2 linked regions of the Astyanax mexicanus genome follow. The protein of the gene in region 1 purifies or fractionates together with the protein of each later gene. This does not show direct contact. Links are inferred from orthologs where the notes say so. Each region holds a gene or a part of one and is shown in the gene's direction. Other genes may lie near its edges. The genes, in order: tmem259 and srprb.

Region 1 (9,155 bases):
GTAACACTATAAAATCACCTGCTCAGAGTTCTCCCGTGTGAGGAATTTGAGGTGTGTGACAGCTGGATACTTGTCCCGTCGCACCGGGTCAGTGGTGCAGCGCATAAAGAGCGAGGGCAGCAGTTCTGTATCGATGCGGCACTTCTCGTTCACCACACTCACACACACTTTATAAAACTGAACTGGTGATGAGCTGCTGCCGTCCGTCGCTGCCACCACAATGTTCCCGCCGCCGGTGAAGGCAATGTCAGCAAGAGCCACGCGTCCACGCAGCCGGCACAGGCTTTCGCTGGCTGACAGCAAAGCGCCGTTGGGCTTCAGAAGGGACACGGTCACCAGGCCACTCACGGTCACAGCCAGCCAGCCCTCCATAGGCTTACCGCCGAACAGAGTGAGTGACGGAGAGAACTTCACCCGGGAGAACTTCTCACCAAAGTTGGTGGATCCAGACTGTGGAGTGATAAGAACAGAAAGCAAAATAAAACTTACAGAGCAGAACTGTGTGTAAAATAAAATTGCATTTATCCTTTATAGTTAAACAAGCTGTTTTTTTTGTAACTGTTGCTTTAAATCTGATCTGTAAATCATATATACAGCTCTGGAACGAAATAAGAGACCACTTCAGTTTCTGAATCAGTTTCTCCGATTTTGCTATTTATAGGAATATGCTTGAGTAAAATGAACATTGTTGTTTTATTCTATAAACTACAGACAACATTTCTCCCAAATTCCAAATAAAAATATTGTCATTTAGAGCATTTATTTGCAGAAAATGAGAAATGGCTGAGATAATAAAAAAGAGGCAGAGCCTTTAGTTCATATTCATAAAGTTTAAAGAGTTCAGATGCTGGAGAACTAAACTATAAAACTAAACTATAATGCTGTACTTTAGCGGAGTGGCTTTACTGCTCTTTACAACCTGACTGGTAGAATTCATACATAAGGTGCACTGACATTTTTTTTTTTAATTAAAGAACTTTAAGTGTGCCTTATACTAAAATATATACTAAAAAATGTGGGTAAATTTCTTGCTCTTACCTTCTCCACATGCAGTGCAAGTTTGACCCCATTGTGCAACCATGAGAGAGCTACAATAGGGTCTCCATCAACAGAGCTGCTCTGTATACTTTCCCAGCTGTTCACAAGGTGTTCCTTCATTGCCCAACACTTGATCTCTCCGTCCCCATCAGCAGAGAGCAGTCTGGATCCTAGTTACACACAATTTAATGAATGAAGGCAAAAATTAGATATGAATATACTGCAGCCCTAAAATGAGTGAACATCATTACAATACTCTTTGTCCTAAAATTTCACCTATCAGGGCACACAGTGCTAATCTTTTGCAATATTAGATCATTTAGAAAAAAATGTATATATGAGAGAATGCAAAAATATTGGCCGTTTTACAATTAAATTTTAAACAGTGAGGTTAACTTACCTGACTGGTCCCACTCCAAGCACGAAATAACTTCCCTATGACCCGAGTTGATGGAGTAGACATCCCAGGGGTGTTCAGTGTCAATGATATGAATCATGTGACTGAGTTCTAAAGCAAAAAATGTACTATGTTAAACACTTAGACTGCACTAAGGGGAAAAAATATATATCCATGATACACAAAAGAAAACAGCTTCAACAGAGCAAACCAATAAATGATGAAGTCTCAGGTTTCGTACAAAAAATATATAACAAAATAAGCAATGTAACAACAAAAAAATTTAGCAACAAATCTAGCGCAATACCAAAGTGTGGAATATTTAGTGCATGCATATAAAGTGCAAAACAATTAAACAAAAACAACCCATAAATCTTTCCAGTAAATAGCAACTAATACAAATAACACAATACTATTGCATATTATAAAATATGTAACATCTGTATGTGCAATAGAAGAGGGCTTCTTTCTACATTGTATTGCATTGTGTTCAATTTTTGTGATATCGAAGCATATTTGGATGACATTACTGCTAAAAGAACACTGATGAGCATCACTATTACATTACAGAGAGTTTAATCAGTAATGTTTAACTGGATTATGTGCAGCACAATTGTGTGTATGCTCAAAATATTGCTATAAATAATCAAGGGATCAGAGAACTCAAGGAATCAGAATCGGTAGGAAGAGTGGAGAGGCACACAGTCCAAGCTGCTTGAGGTCTAGTGTGAAGTTCCCACAATCAGTGATGGTTTGGATAGTCATGTCATCTGCTGGTTTTGGTCCACTGTGTTAAATCAAATCCAAAATCAGTGCAATGTTTTCCCGGAAAATCTTACAGCACTTAATGATTCCTAGAGATGCAGATTTCATTTTGCAGCAGAATTCGGCACACTGCCCACACCGCCACAAGTACCAATCGGTCTTATATAATATTCTGATTTTCTGAGATACTGATTTTTGTCATCATCTTCAACTATAGATAATAGATTACTGTGTATAAAACATTTATATAATACAGCTTTGGAAATAATTAAAAGACCACTTCAGTTTCTCTGATTTTACTATTTATAGGTATATGTTTGAGCAAAATGAACATTGTTGTTTTATTCTATAAACTACGGACAACATTTCTCCCAAATTCCTAAATAGAAATATTGTCATTTACAGCATTTATTTGCAGAAAATGAGAAATGGTTAAAATAAAAATAATAACCCTGCTTTTTAATCAAAGTTTTCGTGCATCTTGGCATGTTTTCCTCCACCAGTCTTACACAGTGCTTTTGAATAGCTTTATGAGGATTTCAATTTGGTAAAATCAAAGAAAGTGTTCTCAATTTTTTCCAGAGCTGTATATGAATTTTACATTTTGAACTGAACTACTGAAATAAGGCAACTTTTTAATGATATTTTATTTTTCTGAAATGCAGTAGTATGTTCAGTGGATCTGAAATATGCATAGCTAACTAAAAGTGGTAGACACAAACATAGTGTTAGGCTTAAGTTCTGTACACTGGCTAAAATTCATAGACATAAATGAATAAAGTGTAGAATATAACCTAATATAACTAACTACACTTTATATTAGACAGAGGATAACAGAGAGCACTAGTATAAGGACTCCTCTTACCTTTATCGTCCTCTTCATTTTTCAGGTCTGTTGTGAAGGCGATGAGGTTTCTGCAGGACCAGGCACACACCAGCGGGATGGAGGGGCAGTGGTTGTTTTTGGGTCTCTTCTCCCACTCGCACACATACACAACCTCCATTATTAATACATTAACGATTTAACTAAGATAGATATACTCCTCCAATGTCTCCGGGTTTCATACAAACGCTCAAGTGAACAGAGAGCCATTCAATAGACTCTACTGCCCGGCGTTAGCTAGCAGCTAATGCTAGCTTGTTAGCTAGCCAGCTAACGCTAGCTTGTTAGCTTATTTAGCTAACCAGTTCGTCATAACAAAGCGCAAAATCTCACCAAATTTGATACAAATGAGGGGGAAAAAGCGACGTATTTAGAAAAAATATGTACAATCCACACGGTTCTGAAACAACACAGTTAAACTAAAATAAAGTTTCTGTGTATGGAGATTATACAGTGAACTACAGCGCTGTTGCTGTGTGTATGAGTCTTCCTCTGCAGCGCTGCGCTCCGCCCAGCACTGACCTGTCAGAGCGCCGTTACCGGCCAGGAGTGTAACGACCCTAACCATAAACAGAAACACTAACTGTTAGCTAACTAAGCTAACAGACTAACTAGCTAACTAAATATAATCTATGTCATAAAATATATGGTAACACTTAATAAAATGTCCCGTAACTTCTCTGTATGAACCAGTATTTACAAAATATTTACAAGGTCTGTCTTACTGCTACTTAAATGTAGCTACGAATAAAGTAATGAGGATAACCAGGAACCAGAGAGTAGGACCCGAGTACGAACCAGCACATATAAAATACAGTAGCAATAGTGGAACAATTGGGCAATTTTCCGACATTTAGTATGTAATTACCAAAATGTATGGTATAATCCCTGTATGAGCCTATACATGTGTAACACTAAGAAGCCCGTTACACATATAAAATACGTGCCGGTTCTTATTGGTACTTAAATGCATGTACAACAACAAAAAAGCCCAACCAATAACAAGAAAATAACAATTTCCCAAAACATGTGGTGTATTTTTTTTATTTACCTCCCTAACTTTATTTTTGTATCTTGTATGTACTCATAAGTTATTTGAACTTACACATTTACACACTAAATTGTGGGCTGTATTAAGTGTTACTAAAGGTCTGAAATAAATGTCATTTATTTGGTGCAATTCTATATGTCTAATTTTTGGTAAACATTTTATGTATTTATCCATTGACATTATATAGTTGTTTAAAATTAGGTTTCTACTCCTTTAATTAACTTTTGTGATATATTTTAATTTTCATTTTGTTCTCTATTCAATATAAAGATTTAACTACATTGTTATTAAGTCACACGAGAATAGTAATTAAATCATTATAATAACTCAATTGTAATAACATGGTAACAATGCAACTAATAAATGTGTTGACCGTACTAAAATCATAAAAAATAAAATTAAAAAATAAATGTAAACATCTATGCAATATTTATAGCCCAAAGTCTTTATTAAAACGAAGTAAACTGTATATTATAGTAAAAATCTAATAAACATCTTAGCCTACCATGTTATCCTAAAGTGTCTTCCACTTAGTATGAGGGGGGTTTTCCTTGTTACTGTTGGCATCACTGTGGTGCACTGTGTGTGGTTTTACAAATGTTGTAAAAAGCGCTATATCAATATAATTTAATTTAATTTAATTACCAAACTGGGGACAAGCCCTGAACTGTGGAAATTAGTTCAGTGAAGGACGGCTATTAAAATTAACGTCACATTTTGTTTTGACTTGACGCATAATAAATTACCTTAATAATTCATGCTCTTGACACAGACCATTGTTTTAAAAGGGTAGAATCAAATTGATTAACTGAGGATCTAGGCGATTTTGCCACAGGTGTGTTTGTAGTCGTCCCGCGTAGAGGTGGCGCTGTATCTGAGATCAGCCGCTGAGTCCGGGTCTAACACATCGGCATGACTGTCTTTGCCAACCGCTCACTTTCTTCGCTCTCGTCACTCCTGAAGTACCCAAGTACGCCTTGATTAGAAAAGGGTCGTGTAAACAGGGGGACCACAGCGAGAGGATACAAGTTCTTGGCAGCTTCTGTCGGAGAGGAATCCCGTGGGATTGTATTTAGCGTCGTTACGGTTCCGTGTGCGGTAGAGGGAGAGTGAGTGTCAGGATCTGTGTTTAATAGAGAAGCTGATCTGAGGAGCAGCAGATCATACGGCCTCTGTGTGCAGCTAGCTGTACGTCAGACTGAACTGTAGTTTAGCCTAGCTAGCTAGGTTAGCTGCTAGTTTAATAAGCAACAGGCTAGCGGGCTATGCTAGCAAGTGGCATCGAGTTTAGTTAGCTCTTTTTAATTTAGCTACATTTCAGCAACACTGACAGACTCTGTTAATTGACCTGGAGTATTTAAATCAGTTAGCTTAGCTAAGATAGTTAGCTTAGTGGTAAATGGAGCAAACGTGAGCTAGCGAGGTTGTAGCTAGCGTAGCTAGCTAACGCCTGGTTAGTTGGGTTAGTAGAGTAGTAGGGCCAGGTACAGTTTACTTAGCGCTAGCTAGCACGTATGCTAAGCTAGCTAACGCTAGTTCGGTGTTGTTCATCTTATTAAGGCTGACAAAGCTATTTAGCTAAGGATAGACCGAAATAAAAACAGAAGAAGACTAAAAAAACAACGTCTACGGAGTGTGACATGCCCCCATTCAGTAGTTAGCGGTAGCTAGGTTAGCTAATGCTAACTGAGCTTGTTTTTACAAGCCAGCAAACTCGTAGCGATGTCATGAGACACACATATCCAAGATAACTAGGGCTAGCTCAGTCAAACGACGTAGGCTGGATTATTAAGAAATTTGGTGCAGTTTATAACGTTAGTTAAAGTACATGCACAGACTGTAGTGCACAAGCTAGCAGACTAGCGCTAAATAACCACACTAAGATAGCTAATGTTTCTCAGTTAACTAGCAAACCCAGGTTAGCTAATTACAGCCACCCACGTTAATTTGTTAGTTAGGTAGCTAGCTAGCATTAGTTAACTAGGTTAAGTGGCAGTACTGTTAATTATCAGTATCTGCGTATGTCGCTCCCTGTCTGACCTACATGGCCATCAAATTTTCGCACTAAACTCGTGGGACTGGCGTTAGACATGTCAGACAACCAGGGAAACCTAAACAACAACAACGTGCCGTTGAACAACAATGGCGGTCCGAACCGAATCCGCAACCCGAACATCAACCAGAACCCCCTCATCAACGTGCGGGACCGCCTCTTTCATGCCCTCTTCTTTAAGATGGCAGTCACCTATGCCAGGCTATTCCCACCGTCCTTTCGGAGGATTTTCGAGTTCTTCGTGCTTCTGAAGGTACGTGTCATTTGTTTACCCCGTACCCTTTTGGACCTGAGCCCATATTTGTTGAGCATTTTAGCTACAGTGAGAACACTATATATACAGTATATACTGAGAATGCTACCTTAGCTAATCCAAGTTCAGGCCTACTTCTGGTTATAAATTAGCAGTTTAAGCCTTCTTTGACATCTTGAATTGAGATATTCCATTTAAGTATAATCTATAACTAGGCTTTATCCCTGTTTGAGAAGCTGCCCCTCACTCTTCTATGAAAGTCACAGTGTAACTTGACCACAGATACACTCTGTAATTCTGTAATTAGACATAGAGGACACGCCAGGCTTTCATATTATGAATAAAGGTTAAATGTTGGTGTGCCTTAACAGATTGATCTGGATTGAGATGGCACAATAACATATTTTAAAACACGTATTCTGTGACTGCTACATTCAAATCTGCAATATTGGCCAATTAACCCATGCAAAACTGTATGTTAACTATATAGATAATAATGTTTTTACTGACTATTAGTCAAAACAGGACCTGTCATGTTAAAATGTTGGCTGCAAATCAGAAGTCAACACTTATCTCTGCTCAAATAGAAATTGTATGTGTAAAACCTGCCTATAGGTGAGGAAAGCCACAGAGGTAAACATGGTACACTGTCAGAAATAGACAGAACTATTGTACAGAGTGCTATCCAATGAAAAACTAGTATTTTACAAGAGAGATATGAAACCACCTTTCCAACTTTCAATGGAAGTTAGTTTGAAAAGAGTTAATTTCAGGCAATAAAGAAGAATTTCTTTTGGTCCATCCATCAAGAAATTTTCACACAGTATAAGGGACAGTTTGTGTATTCATGTTTTGTAGTAAACTAAAAATCAACAAAAACGCTTGTTGGTATCACCCTGTGACAGTTTTGAGCTGCTTTTTCTAGAGAGCTCCTGAGTAAAGGGACTTAAGTTCTGGCCGTTTAATCAGGAGATTGCAGGTTTTAATCCCTGATGATACCATTGCCAACTATAGCCCTGTTCCAAAGGGGTCCAGGGGTCCTCGTGTGCATGTACCCACAAGACCCGTAAGGATGTGTGGAGTGTCCCATTTTTTTTATTCTGCTGAGCTAAAGAATGTTTACCTACTGACATCAATCACATCCTCTCATTTGCAGGCTTTGTTTGTGCTGTTCATTCTGGCCTACATCCACATCGCCTTCTCCCGATCACCCATCAACTGTCTGGAGCATGTGCGTGAGAAATGGCCACGTGATGGAATCTTGCGCGTGGAGATCCAGCGCAACTCAAGCCGTGCGCCCATATTCCTGCAGTTTTACGAGACGGAAGGATTCCAGGGGCTGGTTAAAGAATCCAGTGGAGATACAGAGGACACCAGCCGAGCTCCTGTTCATCAAGAAGAGGAGGAGGAGGACGAAATGACCATGGAAATGTTTGATAACAGCTCTGTTAGGGTAAGTAAAAGGAAAAACACATGCAGGCACTTGTTCTGTTTTAGGGCAGTGTTTTCCAGTCCTGGGTGAGGGGAACATACATATTTTAGTGCATTTCCTTCCTAGGTAAACCTTTGGGACAGTTTCCTAGATGGGGATTAAGCCTAGTCGTGATCTACACAGTATTTTGAATGGAGATTGTATATTAAAAGGTAAATCTAGTCATAGGGAAATTGCCCTTTATTTATGTGTTACAGCAGAGAAAACAAAAAGACTGGACATATTTTAAACACTAGAGTATTTGTTTTTGTCTTTTATGTCTAGGAATATTCTCTTTTATTAAGACTAAATTTAAATACTTTTATATAAAACTAGAGATGGCACAGTACTCCTTTTTTCTATTTTGTTGAAATGCATTGCCAAATATAAACACACACTTAGGAGGTGTTTGTTTGTTGTTTGGTTCTCTTGGTTCAGACCAAGCAAGACAAATGTTTCATGGTTGCATTTTAGTCCCAGCTTGCTTTGTATTCATCCTAGCATACTGGATCCTGGGTTAATTTTCTCTTTTAAGGGGGGTGGGGTCCTCTGTGATTTTATTCCCATCCGGAATGATCATGTATGTGGTTTTCAGACGTCCTCTGAGAAAACTACAGACTGAATTACTTACTAGTAGTAATAGTAAAAGCCAGTTAACTCACTGGTCCTCCTGTTTTTTCAGTTGTAGTCCAGATGCAAGAGTTTTATCACTGAGTAAAAGTGTGAAATATTAATCACAGGCGCCCCCTGAAAAACTAATCTCGTCCTGATAGGGCTTAAGATCACTTTTTGATATGAGGATGATAGAATAAGTTTTGCTGATTAATATAATGTGTAACAATGTCTGTATGTCTGTAACTTTAAGGCAACAGCATACACAAGTAACAGGTGCTATTGTAATAGACATTAGTTTTGTGTTGTGTGGTGGTGTGTGGTTTGTGGTTAAAGCTTTAGACAGAAGAAGCTTCTTGATGAAGTGGGCAGATGAGGACTGCATAACAGTGGAGCGGAAGGCAAAGAATTGATCGTACATTTTGCAGACAGTCGTGACCCCGTGCTTGTGCACAAATATAGCTTTACCATAAAATACAGCAGTAATGTTTTCAGGCAATATGAACATATGTAAACAGTGGATATCTCCCAATGCTTGATCTAGCATTTTTATTGATAGTAAGCAGACACAGATAACAGATATGGGAAGTGAGAGCAGATGTAACAGCAATTGATTTGCTCAACTGCTTCAG
Region 2 (9,563 bases), on another chromosome or scaffold:
TCAACGATTACAATGACTGAGATAAAGACATTTTGACCAATGGGTGGTAATCCCCTTTAACTCTCAAGAGGTCCTACATATTTAGCTCTCAGCACATTTAATAAAACGTCTAAATAAACAACAAGCATACTGTGGGTTAAAATGCAGAAAGAAAGAAAAAACTTTTTTTTCCGAATATTTCCAAAACATCTAAAGCAGAAGTGGGCTAAATGTATAAGGGGTAACATTCTTGAAACCTAGCCAGATATTTCAACCTGTGAAACAGCCTGGAGGATGCCAATACCCAATGGATAAAAGACTTTAAAGCCTTGGTTCAAATGAGAGGTTTTGTCTGATTCACTCAATCTTTATTGCTTAAAATTGACTTTTTAACTCCTTAGGAACACAGTAAGTCAGATTCCCAGACATGAATCAAGCCTAGCTCTCGTTTACCTGTTAATTTTTTGCTTTCAATAGGAAATCTACAATTAAAATGCTGCTTAGTCCAAGGCTTGTTGCTGAATTTATTGAATGCAATTAGAAGGGGTCCCTGACTACTGTTGCCAAACAAAACCAAGTAACATCATGCAATTTTTTCAGTTCTTGACTAACATAGAACATGCTGCATTTGACTGTGGTCATGCTTGTCATGCTGGTTGACAAGTTTGGTCTTACTGGTCTTGCTTGTCATGCAGGTCTTGCTGGTCAACCAACTTGGTCAAGCCGTTCAACCATATTGGCTATTCTGGTCAACCAGCATGGTGAGACTTGGTCATACTGGTTGCCTATCTGGGTAAGCTAGATCATGTTTGTAGAGCAGCTAAACCATCAAACTAGTTAAGCTGCTCGTCATGCTGGTTGACAAGTTTGGTCTTGCTGGTTTTGCTAGTCATGTTGACCTTGTTGGTCCACCGGCTTGGTTTTACTGGCCAACCAGTGTGGTCAAGATTATTTTTCTTGTCAACCAGCTTGGTCAAAGTGGTCTTGCTAACCAAAGAACTTGGTCAAGCCGGGCAACTATATTGGCTATGGCTGGTCATACTGGTTGCCTAGCTGGGTGAGGTGGATCATGTCTGTAGACCAGCTAAACCATCAAACTAGTTAAGCTGCTTGTCATGATGGTTTGACAGGTTTGGTCTTGCTGGTTTTGCTAGTTATGCTGGTCTTGTTTATCAACCAGCTTGGTCAAGTTGGTTTTGCTGGTCAACCAACTTGGTCAAGAACAAAAAAATAACATATGCTTGTCAAAACCATATTGACCAGCTTGAGTTGCACATGCTGTTATTTCCAGCTGTTTAAAGAAGAAAACTGGTTTCGATTCTTATATGGCTACAAAAACATAATAACGTGTGTGTGTGTGTGTGAAAGTGTGTGATATGTGTCCATACCTGCGCTGGGAGTTAATAGCCGCAGCTGGAGGTCCAGCACTTTGTTCAGAGTTCACGTGCTGCACCGTTAGTCCGTTAGGGAACTGGTAGATGAAGCCGGTTCCGAGAGAAGGTCCAGTCCAACACGCGAGGATGCAGCACACGGAGAGCCATAGCGCGTGCCGTGACATCGCTGCACCAGTGCTGAAGCCAAGCACACCGCCTGGATCCCCGCGCGCTCCCGTTCAGCTTCACGGAGCAGAATGCGCGCTCTCGGTTCTCCACTGCTGTCGGTGCAAGTTCTCGGCTGGAGGAAGCCAACGCAAAGCAGAAGACCGTCAGAACGCGCAGACCAGACCATTCAACACATGAGGAGAGTCTGAACTAAAAAAAAAAAAAAACTCTCGCGTACCCCCCGCGCGCGCACACGCACACACACACTAAAGTTTGTATTCCTGTCTTTGTGGGGTGTTATAGTATAGTATATCCCACAGGGTGATAAACAGCCTAGGAACGATAATGATTTAATAGCATTATGTGAGTAAAGACATTTGTGTGACTTTTATGATGATAAAAAGCTATTTACCACGCGTTTATTTTACCTCAGAATGAAATACACACATTTCTCATACTAATTCACATACTAATGTAACATTGGATAATTTTCCTCAATAAATAAATTAGTATTTTGTCTCATTTGTTTAACAAGGTTCTCTTGATCTTTTTCCTTAAAGACTTGAAAATCTGATGTTTCAGGTCATAATTATGCAGAAATATAGACAATTCTAATAGGTTTACAAACTTTCAAACACTTACTTTTTATGACGCCCCTAAGGTGACATCATGTAAAAAAAAGTGTGGCCACGACTTATTAAAGAGTATGGCATGGGAAGGAGATCCTAATGTGTGGGAACTTGATTATTACGGCATGGGAACGAGATCCTAATGTGTGGGCACGACTTATTAAGGCACAGGAACAAGTTAATTTAATGATAGACATTAAGGCTTGGCCACAAGGTCCCTTTTTTCACAGCTAACAAAGAAAGCAGCTCTCAGGGGTTTCGCACAACATGACTGCCCAAGGAAGATAAACTGATGAGTTTCTTCATGGGCATTTATTTACAGAAATGTTTTATTTTCCCACACCTTAATAAGTCGTGGCCACGCACTAGGTTCTCATTCCCACACCTTAATAAGTAAAGGTCAACAATATATCACCTTAGAGGCTTTTTATATTTTTTTAAAGAACTCAATAAAATTGTAGTTTGTTGTCTTCTATCTTTACAGCAAGAAGCTTCAACTGCACTGATTAATTTCCACTTTTCAAATCTTTTTTTAGGTCAGGCATAAAAACAGGAGGCCTTAAAAAACAGGAACCCGTGCCTTAATAATGTTGAAGTAAAGTGTTTAGGTAAAATTATGAGGTAAAGCCGCGTTGTTTAACAGAACCAAGGCACTCAATCTGAAACTCTTTCTGACATTACATGCACTCGACCCAAATATTACTAACAAATATTCGACTCTGAGACGTGCTTTAAGTCAAAGAATCGACTCATAATTAACTACAGCGTGGCCAGTTCCTTACGCTAATGAAACAAATTAAACTCCGATATTTTCCAAATAAAGATATTACGCTTAAGAAGGATTACTATTAAGCTAATAACACGAGGAAACGGCGTCTTGTAAAAAAAAAAAAAAAAAAAAAAAAAAAAAAAAAAAAAAAAAAAAAAAAAAAAAATTTTGCCTCAAACGATCACGGTACGTACTAATGTAACAGCTACCAGGTGTTGATTATTAGTAATTAGGGATTCCTTCGTCACCTGATCAGGCGGTAGGAACGCATAAGAGGAGCTCGTTTGAGGTGACTACGGTGTGTGTGAGACGGCTTGTGAGATTTCTTATCAAAAAAAAAAAAAAAAAAAAAAAAAAAGTGAAAAGAAGTCGTTAAGTTAAAGTTTATTATTTTCATTATGTGGTTTGAACTCTGTTACCAGTGTGTTTGCATGATGTTTGGTTGATGGAATGATACAGGTAACGTTAATTGCGCGTATTTCGATTAAGTCTTTTTGAAGATAGAATTAGTGTGATAGCTAGTGGTTTAAGGAGGCAAGGATGATTCTCTTTGTTTTACTGGTCTGAAGACTCTAATGCTGACCTTAATTTGCTGCTTGTGTGTATATGTTAAAGGACTAAAGTGTTAAATATAACTTTTTTAACCTCAAACAGCACACACGTACTTTTAGTTTGAACCGATATGTGAACATAATTTGTGTAGAATGTGATTTCCACAACGCTGACATCCATTTAAACATTTTAGGCGCACTTGTTTTAACAGCAGTTTTATTACAGTTTAGTTTTTTTTTGTTTTTTTTGAGGTTATTGAAACCAATAACTATAAATCTGTGAATAATATGACAATCTTTAGATCTGTCTGGTTGGATGCTTTTGTCTTTTACCAGCTTTGTTAATGTATAGATCTTTTCCTTAATATTAAGTAGAATTAATACATGCGTTTAAAAAAATTGCGAAACGTGATTAGCAAACCGGTGATTAGCAACATGATTCAAACCACGCAAATATTCTGCTGCTTCAGAATTTAAACTTACTTAAATACCTGTTTTTAATGATGAGACTTTGCACTTAATTGAGAACATTCTTCTGCTTTAGTTTTGTGGTCGGCTGTGGACGTTTTTCAATTAAAATTATAAGATTGATTTATTGCACTTGAGTTGCCACTGATGTGTAAATGTTACTGCTTTCTTTCTTCATAAAATAAGGTTTAAATGACTGGTATGTGTAAAACTTTAAAGACTTTGGGTGTTTCACCAGCAACAGTATTATCTGGTGAAGTCTGCCCCTGCAAAGACAAATCATAGTGGCTGCTGGTGCTCTTCGGGTTCTCAGATGGCATGGTAAAATCAGACATTATTCTATATACTGTAACTCACTATATATCTATACTCCCAAAAAGTACTAAACGCAGTTCTCTCTGCTGTAATCCGCCAAGGCAAGTTAAAGCTGTGTTCTATAACGAAACCATATGTCAAATTTAGACCTACAAAGCTGAAGGCCTTCATCTTAAGATGGTAAACAGGGAGAACTCTGGGCCAGCATAACAAACCTGGTTAATGATATCTAGTTAGACAAATCTGCAACGTTTGTTAATGCCGGTGAAATCAAATTTAAATAAAACCACAGTCTCTGTGCTGGGGTAAATGAAGCTAATTGGCTAAAAACTGTATAACTATTTGTCCAGTACATTCCTTTAACTTCAGATAGTAAAATAAAGTACTTTGCCCAAAATACAAAGAAAACATACCTATATATTTTTTTGTTTTCTACAACAAACCTTTATAAATTGATTTTGCTCGAATGCTCGATATGAACCCATTCATTTTGGACCCGGCAGCGCCCTCTGGTGGTTAAACAAACTCCGAAGAGATTCTTAAGTGAGTATTCTCTCCTCCAGCATCAGCTCACCAGTTAGCTCAGTAGAAGTGATGCTATAGCATCCCAGTTGCTTAAAAATAGTTTTCTGTTGAAAATGAAAAATATATGTCTATGTATGTGTGAAGAAGCCGTTGTCAAAATACTGAGTGTCAGAAATGCAGCTCTTTATTTGGGAAAACTGAACTCTCACTAATAGCACTTAGAAGCACATGGAGGTATCTATCCCGACTGCCCACAAACATTAAACTGAGCCAGCCCTATCTACGGAGTGTGGTTCACCCTAACGGTGACCATCCAACATTTCCCCAACACAGTAAATACAAGGCATAACAACCTGATAACAGCCACTTCTACTATTAATAACTACTACATTTCCGTAAATAAGAGCAGAGTGTAAGGGGGGGGGGGGGGGGGGGGGCTTGCATCGTAGAAACACACACACACGCAGCCCCTCCTCCTTGCACTCTGCTGCAAACACAAGAACTCAGTGGTGTACTTACAGCTTTTTGGCGGTCGCCACAATATATATATTTGTATTACAAGCAGAGCTATCTATTTTAAGTGTTTATTTTATTTTATTGCTAATGACTATGCTTTAAAGACCCCAAAATTATATTAGACCAATTGGCACTTTTGGCAGTGTGGGCAGTGTGCCAAGTCCTGCTGGTCAGTGATGTTTTGGAGAGTCATCATCTGCTAGTGTTGGTCCACTGTGTTATATCAGGTCCCAGGTCAGTGCAGTGTTTTATCGGTAAATCTTACAGCACTTCATGCTTTCCTTGGTCTTATATAATATTCTAATCATCAACTATAAAATTAATCAATGCAAAAAAAAAAAAAATAGATCAATCAAGCTCCCATTCATTTAGGTCTCATTGTTGGGCTCCTTCTAGTAGTTAGAGGTAATATATATATTTTTTCAGGTATCGGACTCGGTGTGTGTACTGCGCATGTGCGCGGGCGCTGTAAGTACACGTGTGTGTTCAGTGCCTCAGTGACAGAAGCAGCAGCAGCAGCACCGCCGCTATGGAGGAGAAGATTAACCTGGATTTGGAGGATTTTTCCTCCGAGCCGTTTCTGGACTCGCTGGTTAAAGAGTTTATAGAACAGGACCCTGCTTTCCTAATCGGGGTGTTCGTGGCTTTAGCAGTGGTTATAATAACAGTAGGTGAGTGTGCTAAGCTAACGGCATCGTTTACTGGTGATTTTACCTGATCTGTAACGCGAAAGGATAGACTTGTATATGCGGCTAATGATGGATCTGAGTAGCAGGTCGATCCGCGTTATTGTAAGATCTGATAAAAGTGGCTTCCTAACAAAATGACGTGCACTAGCTTAGCAATTAGCTAGGTTGGCTAAGCCTAGCTTAAAAATAAAAGTATTTTATAGCGTTTTATGCACATTTTATGCAAAAGTCTGGATTATTTTGTAGTTAGATAACTTAAAAAATAAGACTGGTGTTTAAAAATGTTCCACTGTAAAAGCATTTATAGTTTTTTCATTGCACATTTCATGCAGAAGTCTGGGTTATTTTGTAACGTTAGTTAAATAACTTCAAAATAACTGACTGGTGTTTTAGAAATTTCCACTGTAAAAACATTTTATAGCTTTTTGCACATTTTACACAGAAGTCTGGATTATTTTGTAGTTAGATACTTTTAAAAAATAAGACTGGTGTTTTAAAAAAATCACTGTAAAAGCATTTTATAGCTTTTTATTGCACATTTTACACAGAAGTCTAGCTTATTTGTAGTTAAATAGCTTTGTTGTTGTTAAACCAGGCCATGATTTATTAAACACGTATTAAAAAGCTGCTATTTGTGTGTTTTTTTCAGTGTTATTTAAGTTTCTGTTCAGTACCAAGACTAAAAGAAGCAGTGTGCTGCTGGTGGGTTTGTGTGATTCAGGGAAGACTCTTCTCTTCAGTAGAGTGAGTGTTTCTTTAACCTTTTCTTATACCCCCTATACCTTATATTATTATTATTAATAACTGCTTATCCTAAAGGACTGCTTAATCTGTAGCAGGGTATAACTGGTTATTTCTGTCTCTCCAGCTCTTGGCAGGGAGATTCACAAACACTCAAACATCCATCTCTGAAAACAGTGCAAACTATAAAACCAAAAATGAGAAGGTAAGACCATAATGGTGACAAAACTCACTACTACCCTGCTGAGTTTAACCCCAGCTTTACCCCAGCAGCTAGTTTCAGGTCCAAGCTGGTCTGTGATGAATAAAATGGACCAGATGTATGGATGGGAATTTGGCCATTCAGGTAAAAGTGGATGTCTAAAGGTGGATTTACACCTGCCTTTTTTAGTTTGGACTTTCTGATTTTCACTTTGGACCAAACCAAAATATCAGGTGTGAAAGGGGCCACGGACCTCGGTCTGGACCAAAGAATCAAAATGTGGTAAGACAAAGGGTGTTTTTACACCTGAAAGTTCAAACCCAAGTCCAGACACCAAGGTTTGTGTGTTAGTTACATTGTATTCTGTACAGTTGGTCCAGTTAGTTTTGGTTTCACACTACAGTTTCACACTACTGCGTCTCACTGCTGTCAGAGGCACACTGCTCAGACCAGTCAGCTCTCCCTTCTGACCTGCCCCTAATCCCATACATCACCCGGTGCCCCTCCCAAACTACTCTTCCCATTTTTTATTTATTTTTTTTAAGCATTTTTCACATTTGAGCTGAGGGTGGAGTCAGCAAAAATCAGAGGGTTTAGTTACCTGTTAACCACGCCAGAGATAAAGAAGAATTGGTGTTGTGCCGAAATCAAACTCCAAATGTACACAGTGTAACAAAGACACAAACCTTGGTGCCTGGACCTGGGTTTGAACTTTCGTGTGTAAAATTGCTCTAAATGTGGACAAAACCAAAGAGATGTTTGTTGACTTCAGGATAAGCGTATAATATGTCCTATAGCATAGCATTCTCATTGACTCATGTTTGTGTCTGTCTATTTGTGTGCAGGGTACCACCTGGACTCTTGTTGACCTTCCTGGCCATGAAAGTCTGAGGCCTCAGTTTTTGGAGAGGTTTAAGGCTTCTGCAAGGTACATACAGTGATGGGTTAAATAGAGATTGCTTTTTTTGGTGTAAAGTTCTAGAAACATCACTGGAGTGGCATTGGCCTATTAGTGGGTGTTGTGCTGGTTTGGAAGATGGATGATCACAAGCCATCAAACCAAGCCGAACTGTTTAAGTTTTGCACCAGGAGTGGCATAAATTTATCCAAAAGCAGTGTGTAAGACTGGTGGAGGAGAACATGCCAAAATGCATGAAAACTGTGATTAAAAACCAGGGTTATTCCACAAAATATAGATTTCTAAATTCTTAAAACTTTATAAATATAAACTTGTTTGTCTTTGCATTATATGAGGTCTGAAAACTTTGCTTCTTTTTTGTTATTTCAGCCATTTCTCATTTTCTGCAAATAAATGCTCAAAATTACTATTTTTATTTGGGAGAAATGTTGGCCGTGGTTTATAGAATAAAAGACCTATTTTCATTTTACTCAAACATATACCAATAAATAGCAAAATCAGAGAAACTGATACACTATGGGACGGTTTCCCGGACAGGGATTAAACCTAATTCTGAACTACGAAGGATTCTGTATGGAGAGTCTCTATTAAAAGAACTCTATATGCACAAATGTTTGTGGACACGTCTTCTAATGAATGCATGAAGGTCCTCATGCTGCACCCAATGCCCGACATGCAGTAGACAGCCTTCCCTTACAGTAGAGACAGATACTCTTAACAAAATCTATTATTATTATTATTATTAATAATAATAATAATAATAGTAGTAATAAAAATAATTATAATAATATAAATATATTTTATTATTATTATTCTAATATAATTTTTTTATTATTATTATTATTTTTTTTTATAACTACTATTCATCTCGAAAAAAACAATGAATGGGCAGGTATCCCAGTACTTTTGACCATGTAGCATAGTCTTATTTCTAATCTAATTTCTAATCTGATCTTAGTCATTATGAATTAAAGACACTAAGCCTGAAACTCAGAATTTAATGTAATGCTTCTTGTGACCCTAGAGCGATAGTGTTCGTGGTGGACAGTGCAGTCTTCCAGAAGGAGGTGAAGGATGTGGCTGAGTTGCTTTACTCCTTGCTGACGGACAGTGTGGTGACCAGGAATGCCCCAACTCTGCTGATCGCGTGCAACAAACAAGGTACGAGCACACTGTTGCACCTAAAACTGATGCATTTAAAATCCCCCACACACTCATCTCTTTACCTCGAGTGGTTTATGATTCATGTCTTTGTTCATTTTTGATGTAGTAGGTGTTCTGTGGTTATTTGGCCTTTAGCCTTCAGCACAGTTGTGTGGGCTCTGTGGGTACCTCATATACTGCAGACTGTAATTATAGAAATGTTTAGATGATATTAGTATTGATATAAGTAAAAAGTGTTGAATATTTATTTATTTTTTCACTTCTCTCTTTAATTGTAGATATTACAATGGCGAAGTCAGCCAAACTGATTCAGCAGCAGCTGGAGAAGGAGCTGTGAGTGTTTTACTTTTTTTATTACTTTATTTCTGCTAACAATGAACTCTATGAACAAACTATTAATGTTAGATTTTATTTATTATAATTGTTGAATAGCAATTAGGAACAAGCTTTAATCACATACTTCACTGTACTGCATTCAGAAAAGAACAAAAAGATTTGTTCTGTATAAGAATAATAGAATCTTCTGTAAGTTTTTGTTTTCTGCTCTGAATACAT

What was found.
Region 2: the proteins of tmem259 (region 1) and srprb purify together in Homo sapiens (affinity purification with mass spectrometry; 3 studies listed by BioGRID and IntAct, counting the BioPlex papers as one, with this or other methods). This does not show direct contact. The link is inferred for Astyanax mexicanus from reciprocal best matches to the Homo sapiens genes TMEM259 and SRPRB.

The regions. Positions count from the first base shown.
Region 1 is NC_064423.1:18,116,407-18,125,561, reverse strand, and holds the start of tmem259 (membralin), read left to right. Parts: upstream 1-5,014; 5' UTR 5,015-6,224; coding exon 6,225-6,440; intron 6,441-7,596; coding exon 7,597-7,893; intron 7,894-9,155. Other genes in the region: med16 (mediator of RNA polymerase II transcription subunit 16), read right to left, coding at 19-450, 1,039-1,208, 1,439-1,546, 3,066-3,204. UniProt on the Homo sapiens protein: May have a role in the ERAD pathway required for clearance of misfolded proteins in the endoplasmic reticulum (ER). Promotes survival of motor neurons, probably by protecting against ER stress.
Region 2 is NC_064411.1:41,228,099-41,237,661, reverse strand, and holds the start of srprb (signal recognition particle receptor subunit beta), read left to right. Parts: upstream 1-5,764; 5' UTR 5,765-5,822; coding exon 5,823-5,964; intron 5,965-6,631; coding exon 6,632-6,726; intron 6,727-6,850; coding exon 6,851-6,928; intron 6,929-7,770; coding exon 7,771-7,853; intron 7,854-8,868; coding exon 8,869-9,005; intron 9,006-9,286; coding exon 9,287-9,341; intron 9,342-9,563. Other genes in the region: collagen alpha-1(XXVI) chain, read right to left, coding at 1,368-1,537. UniProt on the Homo sapiens protein: Component of the signal recognition particle (SRP) complex receptor (SR). Ensures, in conjunction with the SRP complex, the correct targeting of the nascent secretory proteins to the endoplasmic reticulum membrane system.